Linked DNA regions of Stegostoma tigrinum. The protein of the gene in region 1 interacts with the protein of each later gene in a pairwise test. Links are inferred from orthologs where the notes say so. Each region holds a gene or a part of one and is shown in the gene's direction. Other genes may lie near its edges.

Evidence for each region. The genes of interacting proteins can lie anywhere in the genome.
Region 2: the proteins of uba3 (region 1) and impa2 interact in binary tests that used the Homo sapiens proteins (3 or more experiments, as listed by UniProt). The two-hybrid records come from large-scale screens. The link is inferred for Stegostoma tigrinum from reciprocal best matches to the Homo sapiens genes UBA3 and IMPA2.

The regions. Positions count from the first base shown.
Region 1 is NC_081364.1:43,406,306-43,413,173, forward strand, and holds the start of uba3 (NEDD8-activating enzyme E1 catalytic subunit), read left to right. Parts: upstream 1-3,846; 5' UTR 3,847-3,899; coding exon 3,900-3,919; exon of another isoform or gene 3,920-3,990; intron 3,991-4,032; coding exon 4,033-4,071; intron 4,072-5,334; coding exon 5,335-5,455; intron 5,456-6,868. UniProt on the Homo sapiens protein: Catalytic subunit of the dimeric UBA3-NAE1 E1 enzyme. E1 activates NEDD8 by first adenylating its C-terminal glycine residue with ATP, thereafter linking this residue to the side chain of the catalytic cysteine, yielding a NEDD8-UBA3 thioester and free AMP.
Region 2 is NC_081358.1:117,128,308-117,135,383, forward strand, and holds the start of impa2 (inositol monophosphatase 2), read left to right. Parts: upstream 1-4,063; 5' UTR 4,064-4,187; coding exon 4,188-4,274; intron 4,275-7,076. UniProt on the Homo sapiens protein: Phosphatase that can use myo-inositol monophosphates, myo-inositol 1,4-diphosphate, scyllo-inositol-1,4-diphosphate, glucose-1-phosphate, beta-glycerophosphate and 2'-AMP as substrates in vitro.

The DNA.
Region 1 (6,868 bases):
TAATGCCACACTTGGGTCAAATGCAGCCTTGAAGCCAAAGACAGTCACTCTCACCTCACCTGTAGAATTCAGCTCTTTTATCTACGTTTGAACCAAAGCAGTAATGAGGTCAGGCGGTGAACGGTCCTGTTGGAACTCAAACTGACTGTCAAATAGCAGGTTATTGCTAAGCAAGTGCTGCTTGAGTGCACTGTTGATGACACCTTCCATCACTTTATTGAGAGTAGACTGATGGAGTGCTAATTGTATTTGTCATGTTTTTCATTCTTACATCATTGACGTTGGATGTATTTGTTAAGTCTTCTCTAGTGAGTTGTTCACCACCATTCAAGCCTGGGTTTAGCAGGACTGCAGATTTGATCTGTTGGTAGTGGAATTGCTTAGCTCTGTCTATCACTTGCTGTTTATACAGTTTGGTGAGAAAGTAGTTTGTAGCTTCTTCAGGTTGATATCTCATTTTTAGGTTTGACTGGCACCAGTCCTAGCATGCTGTCCTGCAATCTCCATTAAAATTTGGAGCATAAAATTATGTGGAGCAATTATGTCAATTATGCAATGTATCCCTGAAAAATACAAGGAAATATAGTAATATCTCTGAATCTCTACAGTGTGGAAGCAGGCTATTTGGCCCATCGAGTCCACACCACCCTCCAAATAGGATCTCACCCACACTTCAGATCCTGCTTTTCCCATGGCTAATTGCCCCAACCAGATATCCCTGGACACTATGGGTAATTTAGCATGGCCACTCCACCTAACCTGCACATCTTTGGACTGCGGGAGGAAACCAAAGCACCTAGAGGAAACCCATGCAGACATGGGAGAATGTGCAAACTCCACACATACAGATGGATTAGATAGTGCAGACTACATCAAAGTATTTCATTTTAATCAATTTGCACTTGAATGGGGGAGAACTCAGAACTAAACTCGGAGACAAAACAAACTTGGGCTATTATTCGTCTGTCAATTTCTACTATCCTATTGTATAAACATTAGCATGCCAAAACTTCTTGCACATTTGATATTACTTTGTCTCCTACTTTAACAAAATTGGCAACTCATCCATTTCTCACAAATGAATGATGGTATTAAATGTCTGACGTAAAATACATATATCCTAATGCTGTACAGATTAGTTTTGGGCTTTAAGATTCAAATTTTCCATTTTCTGTGTTTTTCTTCTTTATTCTTCCCTGGGATGCAAGCATCACTGCCAAGGTCAGCATTTGTTGCCCATTCCTAATTGTATGCCAGGCCATTTCAGAAGGCACTAAAGAGTCTTGCTTTGGTCTGGAGTTTCATGCAGACTAGACTAGTTAAAGATGGCAGATTTGCTTCCCTAAAGGGCTTTAGTGAATCAAACATATTTTTAAAACAATCAATGATAGGTACATTACTGAGACTAGTGGATTTTTTTCAGCATTCCAAATTTTTGTATTGAACTTAAATTCCACCAGTTGCTGCCTCTGGATTACTGATGCAATAATATCACCACCGTGTCACCATCTTGTCCCGTGGGAGATTCTACAGAATTATTCAATGTCAACAAAAAGAACATTTATAGTTTTTTTACAGACCAATTTTGTACAAGTTTCACTGATGAGTTCTTGAAATTAACTGCTTTGGTTAAATGTGACATACTTTCTCCTTACAGGTAAACACAGTTCTATGCTTTCAAAGTTGTTTCTCAATCTACCTTGCAAATTATATGAGATAACAAGGTGTGGAGCTGGATGAACACAGAAGGCAAAGCAGCACCTTAGGAGCACGAAAGCTTTTGCATTTCAAGGCGAGTGGCATAATTAGATTGAAATGGAAATGTGCTGAGGGGACAGGATTGGAAGAAACAGTGACTTTGGCTACAACTGTGGCATTGTTCTAAAACTATTTACTTTGCTCAGGGCAAAGCCACTATTTTTTGCTCTTTAGCTTTCTAAAAGCAGAGTTGTCATGTAGTTCTGTGTGCTGAACAAATCAACAGTAGGGGACAAAAATTGGTGGCTTTGCCCTGAGCAAAGAAGATAGTAAATAGTTTTAAAACAATGCCACAATTGTAGCCAAAGTCATTGTTCCTCCCAATCCTACCCCCTCGCACATTTCCATTTCAATCTAATTATGCAACTGGCCTTGAAATGCAAAAGTTTGCAATAATTTTGTGAGATCATGAACTCCTGCCTACAGCAGAATTCCACCCATCCTGAAGAAGCAGCAATGTTGGGTAGTTGGTAGGAATATCTCTGACAGTGGTGGAAGCTGTGGTGGTTACACCATATTTGTGACAGCCTGGTACACAGACACACAGTAATGTATTCCTCCAGATCAGCAGGGTTTTGCGATTATGTCCTTATTTAGCCACTGCTGTTTAAAGACACTGCAGTCCACACAGAGTGGGGACAAAAATGGGAATAACTGTAACATTGGGATATTTCTAATCTTTGAATTGTCAGCATTTTTGCTTGTCTCAGCTGCTTTGTTTTTAATTCACAAATTTCACTAGAAATATTAATCATGTAGGTTGTAATAAAGTGAAGTGTGACCTCTGGAATTCTGAGCGGGAAACTGAATGAAACATGCTGTCTGCAGACAAATTGCTCAATTAAACCAATTGCTCTGTTTATAAGACTAGCACATGGGTGGAGTGAGAGTCAAGCAAAACACTAAGTTCTGTTTAAAACAGAGAGAGCGCCTTGAATTTTACAGGTCAATTAGTCTAACATCAGTTTGATAAAACTAATAGACACCATGATTGGTGGGCAAAGCAGGATATGGAGCATTCTATTAATGATATTATTGATTGGAGTTGGGTATTTGTTTTGGGGATATTTAAGTTTAATTGGTCATCTGCTATGGCTAGAGCAGCACGGTGGCTCAGTGGTTAACACTGCAGCAGGGACCCAGGTTTGAGTCCAGCCTCAGGCGACTGTCTGTGTGGAGTCTGTACGTTCTCCCAGTGCTCCAGTTTATTCCCATAGGCCAAAGATGTGCAGGCTAGGTGGATTGGCCATTAAATTGCCTGTAGTGTTGAGGGGTGTGTGGGTTATAAGGGGATGGGTCTGGGTGGGATGCTTCAAGGGGCGATGTGGATTTGTTGGGCCGAAGGGCCTGTTTCCATGCTGTAGGGAATCTATATAAAACAGATATTTCTGATGACTTTAATACCGATGTCATTTCTCAAAGGCATTTCCAGAACCTAAATTTTGCATAGCAATGGCTATCTCAATTCTTAAATTCTCAAATCCAAATCAATGTCCCTGAATAAAGATCTTTTACTCATAATTCAATTGTCTGAGTTTATAAGTGTCTCATATTGCCAACCTCTTCATCTCACTCAAAAATTCTGCATTGTTCCTGCAATATAGAGACTAAAAATGAACATGGCAGTCAAAATGCAACCTCACTGACCCAAATACAGATTGAGCATCCCCCAAATTTGATTTCTAAATCCCAACGTTTTGGGTTCCTTTTGACTAGCTACAAACAAACACAATGATTTTACTGAGCATTTTCCTATCCTCCACATTATGCAACAATCTGTGTTAAAAGTACAGACACTTGAGCTGCTGTTTAACATCTGCCAATGACAGCCGTGATCCGAACAACAGCAGCGACAATGAACTTCACTAACGTGCAATCTTGAATTTTTTTTTGTCTCTTTGCTAACCTTGGAGTACTGCAGAATCAACTTTGATCCACTTAACAGCAAGGTCTGACCACCAGTCACTGACAACCCAAACTGCAGGCTGTCCAAAGGCAAATGATGACGTCACTCCCTGACAGCCAGTTGTCTTGGGGGGATGGAGAAAGGATTGGCCGCTGGGATTGTGGGATGTCATGATTGGTCGGCGGCAATGGACCGTCCCAGCCGTGGCTGCGCTGGCTGATGGGAGCAGGAAAATATGGCGGATGTACCGGAGCCGTGAGTATCTCTGCGTGAACTCCGGCCGCTCAGGCCTCTCTCGCATTGACTTCTGCTCGTTCTTCTCTCGGGTGAGCATGTCTGAACCTTCTTTTATTCTCTCTTTTTTTTAGGGAGAAGAAAAGAAGGAAAGTAGAAGAGCACACTGACAAGTTAGTGTTGAATGAATTTAGCGGCCCTGATTTTCTGCTTGCGAGGTCTGAGGCTGGAGGCTTGTTATGAGCTGCAGCTCCGAGCAGTGGGATCAGTGCGGCCTCAACCTGCATCCTTATTCGTCCTAAACTCGGGAATTAACTGCTTGGAGGAATAGGAATATATTTTTTAAAGGAGGAGGAAATCTGTTGGGATTGCAATAAGTGTTAAAACATTAAATAGCCTTATTAAACATTTATTCATTGGCGTGAATTAAATTGACGTGACATGAACTAAATTGACGTGACATGAACTAAATTGACAGCTAAAAACTCCCAGTTGTGTTTTGCATCATTTGTATAGGAGACCTGATTAACGCATAACCAGTTTTAATTGGGGTAAATCTGTATTTCAGTCGTTGTCTAACTCGCTAAAGTTGTGATTAAATGTTATGTTTACATTTTTAGAAGTCGATTCTATGTGTTGCTTCTCAGCACCAAATAATCTCCTCTTCTATAATATGCAGCATTTTTTGAAATTTCTGACCCTTGTAATATTACTGAAATGTAAGAAAGAAATATTATAGGTCCTAACTGAATACCCGTATAAAAATGGTTCAAGGTAACAATCCCATGTCTTTTCAATTCGATTAGAAAGTCCCTAATTTTGATATAGTACTGTATGTATTTTGGCTCCTTTTCAATCCTGCTCCTTTATGTTATACTGGGCGCCCATGACAAATGTTTTGCTTGCATACTCATCTTTGATTGTAGCTTGTAAAGTTACAATCAGTAGTTTGTTTTTCTATTTTCTTTCCCTTGTCTATGCTACAGCACATTAGAACTATCCCTTGTTAGGAGGTTGTGGGGAATTGCAAATTCAGTGAAAATAATTTACACTTTAATTTTAGCTGGTGTCAGTGCTGCTTGTAAAATTTAACAACTATTCCAAGAAAGGATGTTTGCACCAGTTTTAATTGGGGTAAATCTGTATTTCGGTCGTTGTGTAACTCGCTAAAGTTATGATTAAATGTTATGTTTACGTTTTGGTGTTGAGATTGCTGAAAATTCCCCATCTGAGAGATTCTTTGTCTGATTTGAGGCCTTGTAATACTAAAGTAAAATTAGAGTTGTTTGAGGCTCATTCAGTCTCCATCTTTAAAGAAATGTAAATACTACTTTTGAGAATGTCTAAGACAAGTAGTTCTCTTAAATAATATTTCTAATAATTATGCTGTGTTGTGAAAACTAAATCTCTAGTTGAGTTTATTGTGTTCTGTGCAGAATGGCTGTTGATGGTGGGTATGGGGACACTGGAGACTGGGAAGGTCGCTGGAATCACGTGAGGAAGTTCCTTGAGCGTTCAGGACCGCTCTCACACCCTGACTTTGAACCAAGTACTGAAGTGAGAAACGTTGTTATAAATCTAAGTTTGGTACTTGATAGCAGCTGTGAATTTCTTTTTGCTTTTGCTAAATGTTTATGTCACAGTGAGAACAAACAACGTCGGATATCAGTAAGTCACGCAATAGCTGCTTAAATTAGGAAACCTACCACTGATGCAAAACCTCAATATTCTGTTTTGCTGTTTTTGTTTGCTGACACAAAACAACAGCTTTGAGCAAACTCTCGAGTTGCAACATCTATAAACAGTATTTCCTTATCTTTGTGGTGAAATGTAGATAGCTTGTCTGGTTTGTCAAAATCCTGCTAATGGGTTAAGTTTAAAATTCCCCTGTTTGTGGCTACAAATTGAAAGCAATCGATTTAGGTCTAAAATCTTAGTCTGTTACATTTTAGTCAGTTTCTATTTTTAATGTAAACACACGAATTTTCATGCAAAAGTTTGGAAAATGGAATTTGCTGCCATACCACAGTAATTGAAACACTGACTTTAGTGCATTTCAAGGGTCATGAGATGAGCACACAATGGAGAAAGCAATAGAATGATTGAGTAAAATGAAGAATCTAGCTGCAATTACAACTTGTTACCAGATTAACGTTGTGATGTCTTAATTTTGTACATCCCAGTTACTTTGCCTTACTGTGCAAGATCAGCTGCTTTGTAGATTTCCAAATTGCCATAGCTTGTTCCATTTAATTGGAAATATAAATACATTAATGGAAGCATTATGGACAATTAGGGACAGAACGTATGTATTTTTCAAGCAATATCCTCCACACAAATTCCATTTTGTACCGTGTGCCTTTGTTTTATCAGTGATTTGACTTCAGAGCAAATTTTCAAAGGCCTTTTTAAAATCTTAATATACCAGATCTGCTGTTTCTGTCAATAGACTGCAGTCTTTGTAGCTACTTGTAATTGGCAGTTGGGAAATGCTCATAGCTCCTGGTCATGTAGCACAGAAGAGGTCTCTGGCCTATCAAGTCGGCACCGAATCCCACTTTCCAGCATTTGACTTATAGCCTTGAATGTTAGGACCTTTCAATTGCACATTGATGTACTTTTGAAAAGTTGAGATTTTCCGAAGGTTGCAGGAACAGCAACTCATATTCCGCTTGGGAACCCTGCAGCCCAATGGTATCGATGTGGACTTCACCAGCTTCAAAATCTCCCCTTCCCCCACTGCATCCCAAAACCAGCCCAGTTCGTCCCCTCCCCCCGCTGCACCACACAACTAGCCCAGCTCTTCCCCTTCACCCACTGCATCCCAAAACCAGTCCACCCTGTCTCTGCCTCCCTAACCTGTTCTTCCTCTCACCCATCCCTTCCTCCCACCCCAAGCCGCACTTCCATCTCCTACCTACTAACCTCATCCCTCCTCCTTGACCTGTCTGTCTTCCCTGGACTGACCTA
Region 2 (7,076 bases), on another chromosome or scaffold:
ATGCAGGACGATATTTACATACAGTTGAGGCACCAAGATGGTCTGATAGCTGAACAGATCCCCATTGTGCTTTGGCAGAAAGACCTCACATGGTGGTCTTTCTCCACTGCACCCTGGAGGTAGCTGCCCCAAGCTTTAGTGTGTCCCTCAGCACACAGTCCTGGACCTTAGAACGTGCCAATCTGCAACACTGTCGAGGTCAGCTCTTTATCCTGGAAGACCAACAAGTTTCAGACAGACCAAAGAGCATCATCCACTGAGTTGATGGTCTTCCAAGCACAATTGATGATTGAACCTTTCCACTACCTCTTCAAAAACTCAGTAAGTTTGTTAAATATGAGTTGTCCTTTAGAAATCTGTCCTCACTCTTACTAATCAGCCCACCTTATACTATGTGATTACTAATTCTATCCCGATAATTGTTCCCAAAGGTTTCCCCACTGGCAAAGTTAATTTAACCGTCCATAATTGCAGAGTTTATCCTTGCAACCTTTCTTGAACAAGGTTGTAAGGTTTCAATTCTCCAGACTTCTGGCATCTCCCCCTCTTCTAGGAAAGACTGAATGGTTATGGCCAATGTAATTTATACCCTCACTTGCCTCAAAATCCTTGAATACATTTAATTTGGCCTTGGTGCTTTGTCAATCCTAAGTGCTAATAATCTATCCAAGACTTCTATCTTATTAATTTTGTATCTTAATGACAAAGTTTTCTCCTCTATCTCCGTGGCTTGGGCAGCATCCTCCTGCTCTGTAAATATTAATTTAACACCTCTGCCTCCGTGCATAAATTTCCTTTATAGGTCTAATGAACCCCACCTCTCGGTACCAGTTTCAGGTTTTTTTTTCTCTCAGGTTTCCAGCTTCTGCATTATTTTGGTTTTGTTTTGGAGCTGCCCCATTGATTCACCAACCACTAACTGGCCTTTGGGTCCGATCACTCTGTTATGGGATAACCCAATCTAGATTTTAACACATGCCTAAAGATTGGTAACTTTTTAAATCCTTCCTCAATCCTATTTAATTTGAATTTCTGAAGTCTATGCAGGACACCTTGCTTTTGCAAGACTTGACAGTGTTTTGTATATTTGACAGACTCTAGGCTGTGAGAGTGTTGCATCATGGGGGTTGGGCTAAGGATTGTGGAGGATTTAGAGCCAAACAAAATTCATTACTGACAGCATCCATTATCACCATTGTATCAGAAAGGGAAGCCTGTTGATCGTTGAGCTTCTGTCTTTACTGTATAATTGCTGATCTGTTATTAATTCACATGGTAGCACTTTTTCTATTCTTCAGTGTTTCTTTCATGATTCATTCCTATGATGTGGGTGTTGCTAGCTGGACCAGCATTTATTGCCCAACCCTAATTGTTCTGAAGTAGCTGGCTCTACCAGTCTCCCAGGCTGTGAGTTCCAGATTCCCACCACCAACTGGGTGAAAAAAATCTTTCCTCACATCCTTTCTTAATGTCCTGCTCCTTACCTTAAATTTATGCCACCAGTCATTGATTCCTCCCCCCCCCGCCAAAGAAAAAACTTTCTCCCTTTCTGCCCTATCAATGCTTTTCATCATTTTACATTCTCAATCATGCCCCCCACTCAGTCCCCTCTGCTCCAAGGAAAACAACCCCAGTCTTTCCAATCTCTCTTTATAACTTGGTATGCTCTGTCCAAGAGTATAAGAAATTACAGAGAATTGTGAACACAGCACAGTCCATCCAGCCTTCCATCCATTAACTCTGTCTATCCATCCCACTGTCTCAGGAAAGCAACCATCATAACCAAAGATTCCTCCCACCCCAGTTATACTCTCTTTCACCCTCTTCGATTGTGGAGAAGATACAAAAGTTTGAAAACATGTACCAACAGATTTAAGAACAGCTTATTCCCTGCTGTTATCAGACTTACGAACAGAGCTCTCATATTAAAGTTAATCTTTCTCTGTAGAGGTAACACTATTCTATATTCTGTTCTATTACCATTATGTACATATGTAAAGTACCATTTGTCTGCTTAGCACTCAAAACAATACTTTTCCCTGTGTCTCGGTACAAGTGAGAAGAAATCAAATCAAATCAAATCAAATAAATTAACGTAATTCTACCATAACTGAATAACAAAATCGACTTGTTGGGCTGAATGGCCTACTTTGCTCCTTTGTGATCAAGATGGTGGCAGCGGAGTAGCCTACTTCCAGGCTCCTGAGCCCAGGTCTTGTCCACTCTGTCTACTTTCCATTTTTTTCCCCTACTTTTCTCATTTTCTTTCTTCTTTTTAGCTTTTGTTTCTACGTACCTTCTGGGGAGAGCTCAGTCATGGCAGCATCAGCAAGAACAGCATTGATGAGAAAGGGAGCTACTTTGGGGCCCAGGCTGTGGAGGCAGCTGGTGAATGTGGAATGGGACCCTGGCGGATGGCGGCGAGGAGGCAGCTGGCAGACGGGCAAGCATGGGACCCGGCCATTGCCTGCTACATTGGCAGATGCAGCGGAGAAATGTGGCACCTGAGGAGCGGTGACTTCAACGTTGGTTGGGAATGGTACTGGCAGCAGCAAAGCAGTGGCAGAAGGGTTAGGGTCTCTCTGTAAGTCATATCTTTTAAAGTTTTTAATAGTCTTAAACTGTTCAAAATGGCACCGGATCATGGCAACAGTGGAAGCTATTCACTGTATCTTTCACTGTAAACACACATGACAATAAAACCATTCATTCATTCATATGTCTTATCATCTGATATGTTATTCTCATTGTACATCACATTGTTAAATTTTCCAAACATTGTAAATTGTCCCAAGATGCTTCAAAGGAGAGTAAACAGACCAGGTTTGTCGATGAGAAATGTCTCAGGAGATGCAGGAGGAAATGACCAGAACTTGTGGATAAAAAGCATTTTAAAGGATGAGACAGAGTTGGAGAGATAGAAAGGTTTTGGACTGATGTTATGGTCTAGGCAACTGACATTTTCGCTCCCAGCTCCCTAATTAAAATCGGGGCAGTGCCAGAGGTCAAAGTTGTCATTGCCTGGCATTTTGTGGCCCAAATTTTATTTGCTGTTTCCTAGCCCAAGCCTAGATTTTGCCCAGGTCTTGATGTATTTGAACCTGGACTGCTCCATTTTCTAAGAAGTCATGAATGGTACTGAAACATTGTGCAATTATCAGTAAACAATTCCACTTTCAATCTTAGAATGGAACGATTTTTATTTATGCAGTAAGTTCCCTTCCCACTCCCCATTCCTGAAGAAATGTCCTGACTGGAAGTATCAACTTTCCTGCTCCTCTGATGCTGCCTGGCCAGCTATGTTCCTCCATCTCCACACTGTAACCTTTATCTTTCTGCTTTAAGTGATAGTTTATTTACAGTGACTAATTAGGGATGGAATGTTAGTGACTGGCATCTATTTAGAAACCTACCACCTCAATGAGTTTTGCAACATAAAAGCCAATAAATTGAAGAGCTCAGTCAACTTTGATCTTTCAGAATTGAAGTTAATTAGAATGTGCAAGCAAATTACAAAGAGTGCTATTTGGAAATATTTGAGAGGGAGCAAACAGGACAGCCAAAGTTGCTCGCTGGGATATAGACTAGAGATCAGCGAAGAGACTGGTTTGTGAGATATAGGGAGGGAATTGAGAGAGAATTGTTCATTGTGGCTGAGTGTAAGGGGTAGAAGGGGTGTAGGGGATAGGGTTAGGATTAGCCTGTTAGGGGTGGTAAAGGCAGAAACCGTCGTAACATTTAAGAAATATTCGGACATAGTCTTGCAAATATATGGACCAGTGCTGAAAAATGGGATTTAAATCCCAAAAACAGAAGTTGCTTGGATAAGCTCAGCAGGTCTGGCAGCATCTGTGAGGAAAAAAAAATCAAGAGTTAAGGTTTCGTGTCCGGTGACCCTTTAGATACATGCCTGTTTTTGACCTATGCAGATTCAATGGGCTATTGGGTCTTTTTTCTGTGCGGTGGATCTGAGTGAGTGAGTAGGCTCACAGCTAGTACATTCACTAGAGAGCGACGGAGAGACTGGAGTGTGAGATATAGGCAAAGAATTGTTAATTGTGGTGAGGCGGCTGTAGCTGGGATTCACACTAGAGTGCAGTAGAGAGAGTGGTGTGCATATTATATCTATATATAGTGAGAGAGAGGAGTCAGCCGTTCTGAAAGCTGCCCGAGCGAAGGGGAAGGCAATGGCCGGCTCGGGCGAGAGGAACAGACAGCAGACGATTGAAGAGTACCTGGAAGCGGCCGTACAGGTGGCTCTGGAAGCCGGCCAGGTGAATGACAGGCTGGGGGAGTAACTCAATTAATGTAACCGGAGCTGATCCAGGCATGAGATGTCTTTATAATGGCACTTTATGGCCGGAGAGGCCGCTGCTGATAAAACAAAAGTGGGTTTGATAGTTTCATTGAAGTGAGTATTGGATTTTTAACCCAGCGAAACAGGATCTAGTGCTGTATAATCATCTGGTAGGCCAAGGAAGTGGGGGATGGGGAGTTGATTAAAGAAAATGTAATTGTTATTAATAGGCAAAGACATTTCCAATTCAGTTGCTGTATGAGGGAGCCCAGTTTTAATGTTTCTCCTCTAAGCCATGACTGCACGGATTGTCAGACCCATAGCCAGCCTGGGAATGAGTGGGCAGGCGATTCAAACATTTAAAAAAACGTTAAGGAGGTACAGCTTTCTTGGTTGTAAGCCCCGCAACAAAAACCGTGAAAGCTGCTTCCGCTACCAGTCATCTCAAACGTGCTGAGAAATCCCCAGTCACTGTCAGAATGAATGTCAGAGAGACCTTGAAATTAACCTGCAGCCCCCCCTGCAGTTCATGTTCCAGATTTCAACCTCCTGCACAAACCCCACCAGCATGGTACGGTTATTGAAGTCTGTAGGAAGATTCGACTCCCCATGGTGGGATTTTCACTCTTCCTGAAGAGCATTGGAGGGCGGGGGGGTGGGGATGAGGAAATTACAAGGATATCTGAGGGGTCACGGCTAGAAGGATCGGCCTCGCCATTTTACAAAAGCTTAAGGGTGTTTTTTTAATGATGGGGGTTTGCTATGCAGGGCCATGCCTACTCGTGTGGAAATGCCCCTAACTGTTAGAAATAGCAAGTGGTTACCTTTAACTTGTGTGGGGAATTCATGGGAACGGCTGCAGCGTGAATCTGCTCTCACAAGGAGTGGCCTATGTAAATATCCAGGGGCAAGGTACGTGGCGGAGGGAAGAAGACAGAAGTGTCGTAGGAATGGAGAGGGTGCAAGAGAAATAAGACCAGGCAGAAGGCTCGTGTGAAACACACATTTTCTGGATTAACACTGGATTTGCCCCTTCTCATTTCCACTTCCTCCTGTAATCCTGTGCGGTTTACTTCGCAATCTTCTCATTTAATTGGTTTAGGAGGAGCACTACTGCTTCCAACTGTTCTCTCAGGTCCCAGATCCCCAGCTCTTTTCAGCCAATAGAAGTGGGGAGGTGGTATGTTTTGTGATAATGGGAACTGCGGGTGCTGAAGAATCCAAGATAACAAGATGTTGCTGGGCCTGTTGTGTTCATCCAGCTTCACACTTTGTTATCTTAGGTGCTATGATTTGAAGGATTGTTAATCCAGAAAACTCAGCTGGTGTTCTGGGTACCTGTGTTTGAATCCTGCCACAGCAGATGGTGGAATTTGAATTCAATTAAAAATCTAGAATTAAGAGTCTAGTGATGACCGTGAATCCAATGTCAGTTGGAAAACCCACCTGGTTCTTTAGGAAACTGCTACCCTTTATGTGGCCTACATGTGACTCCTAAACCACAACCAAAGCCACTGTAGCTTCAGTCTTAAGTAACAGGAAACAACTGTTTACAATATGTGTTAATGACTTGGAGGAAGGAAGTGAAAGTTCTGTAACCAAATGTAACCTTCTGGACATTTAGGGATGGGCGATGAAAGCTGGCTCAGCCAGTGATGCCCATACCCCATGAATGCATTTTTAAAAAAAACTGAAAGGGCTGCAGATTCTGAATATCAGAAACAAAAACAGAAATTGCTGGAAAAGCTCAGCAGGTCTGAAGCTTTAAGAAAACTTTAAGAATCCTATATATTTCAATAAGGTCGCATCTCATTCTTCTACATTTCAAGGAGTAGAACCCCAACCTGTGGAGAGAAATCAAAGTTAACTATTCCGGTCCAGTGACCCTTCCTGAGAAAACTGGAGTAGTTGTATTCAGTATCAAATCAGGATGAAAGCGAGTCCGAGGGAGGAAAGCAATTCTATTAAGACAGGAGGAAAGTGATAGAAAGAAAAGGTAATTCTTATTAAAAGTTTAGTGTTCCATTTAAAGAAACACAACAACAGCGAAAACCTATGTCACATGTGTAGCTTATTCAATGCAGAGAGGTTGGCTGGTAATAATTAAGGTGTCACACCATTAAAATTGTAGATGTTCATTTTAGCCTGAGGCCTAAACTTTGGGACGACAGTTGTTTATCCACTGTACACATACAGCAATCTTATGCTGTTCATTGCCTCTCAAGCTCAAGTCAGATAGTGAGTTGAAAACAGAAGGAATTGCAGAAACTTGGCAGTTCTGGAAACATCTGTGCAGTGAGAGAATGGAGTTCATATTTTGAGACCAGTATCACTTCAGAGAGTGAGTTTTTTTTGTGACACAAATGAGAGGCACATCTCAGACAACCTTAGTGAATTGGATCTGCCCACATCCAAAGCCACCAGTGCTTCAGCCATAAGTAACAGCAAGCAACTGTTTACAATATATATTAATAACTTGGAGGAAGGAAGTGAAGGTATTGTCATCAAATTTGTAGATGATGCAGAAATATGTGGAAAGACAAGTTATGAGAGGGATACAAACACTTTATAAAGAGATATTGATAAGTGGGCAAAAAGTTGGTGAATGGATTATAAGGGTGGAAAGTGCAAGCTTGTTCATTTTGTAAAAGAGAACAGTATTACTTAAATGGAAAAACTGCAGAAAACTGCATCACAAAGGGACTTGGGAGGACTTGTGTACAAAACTCAGAAAGCTAACACACAAGATCATAAACAGGAGCAGGAGTAGACCATCTGG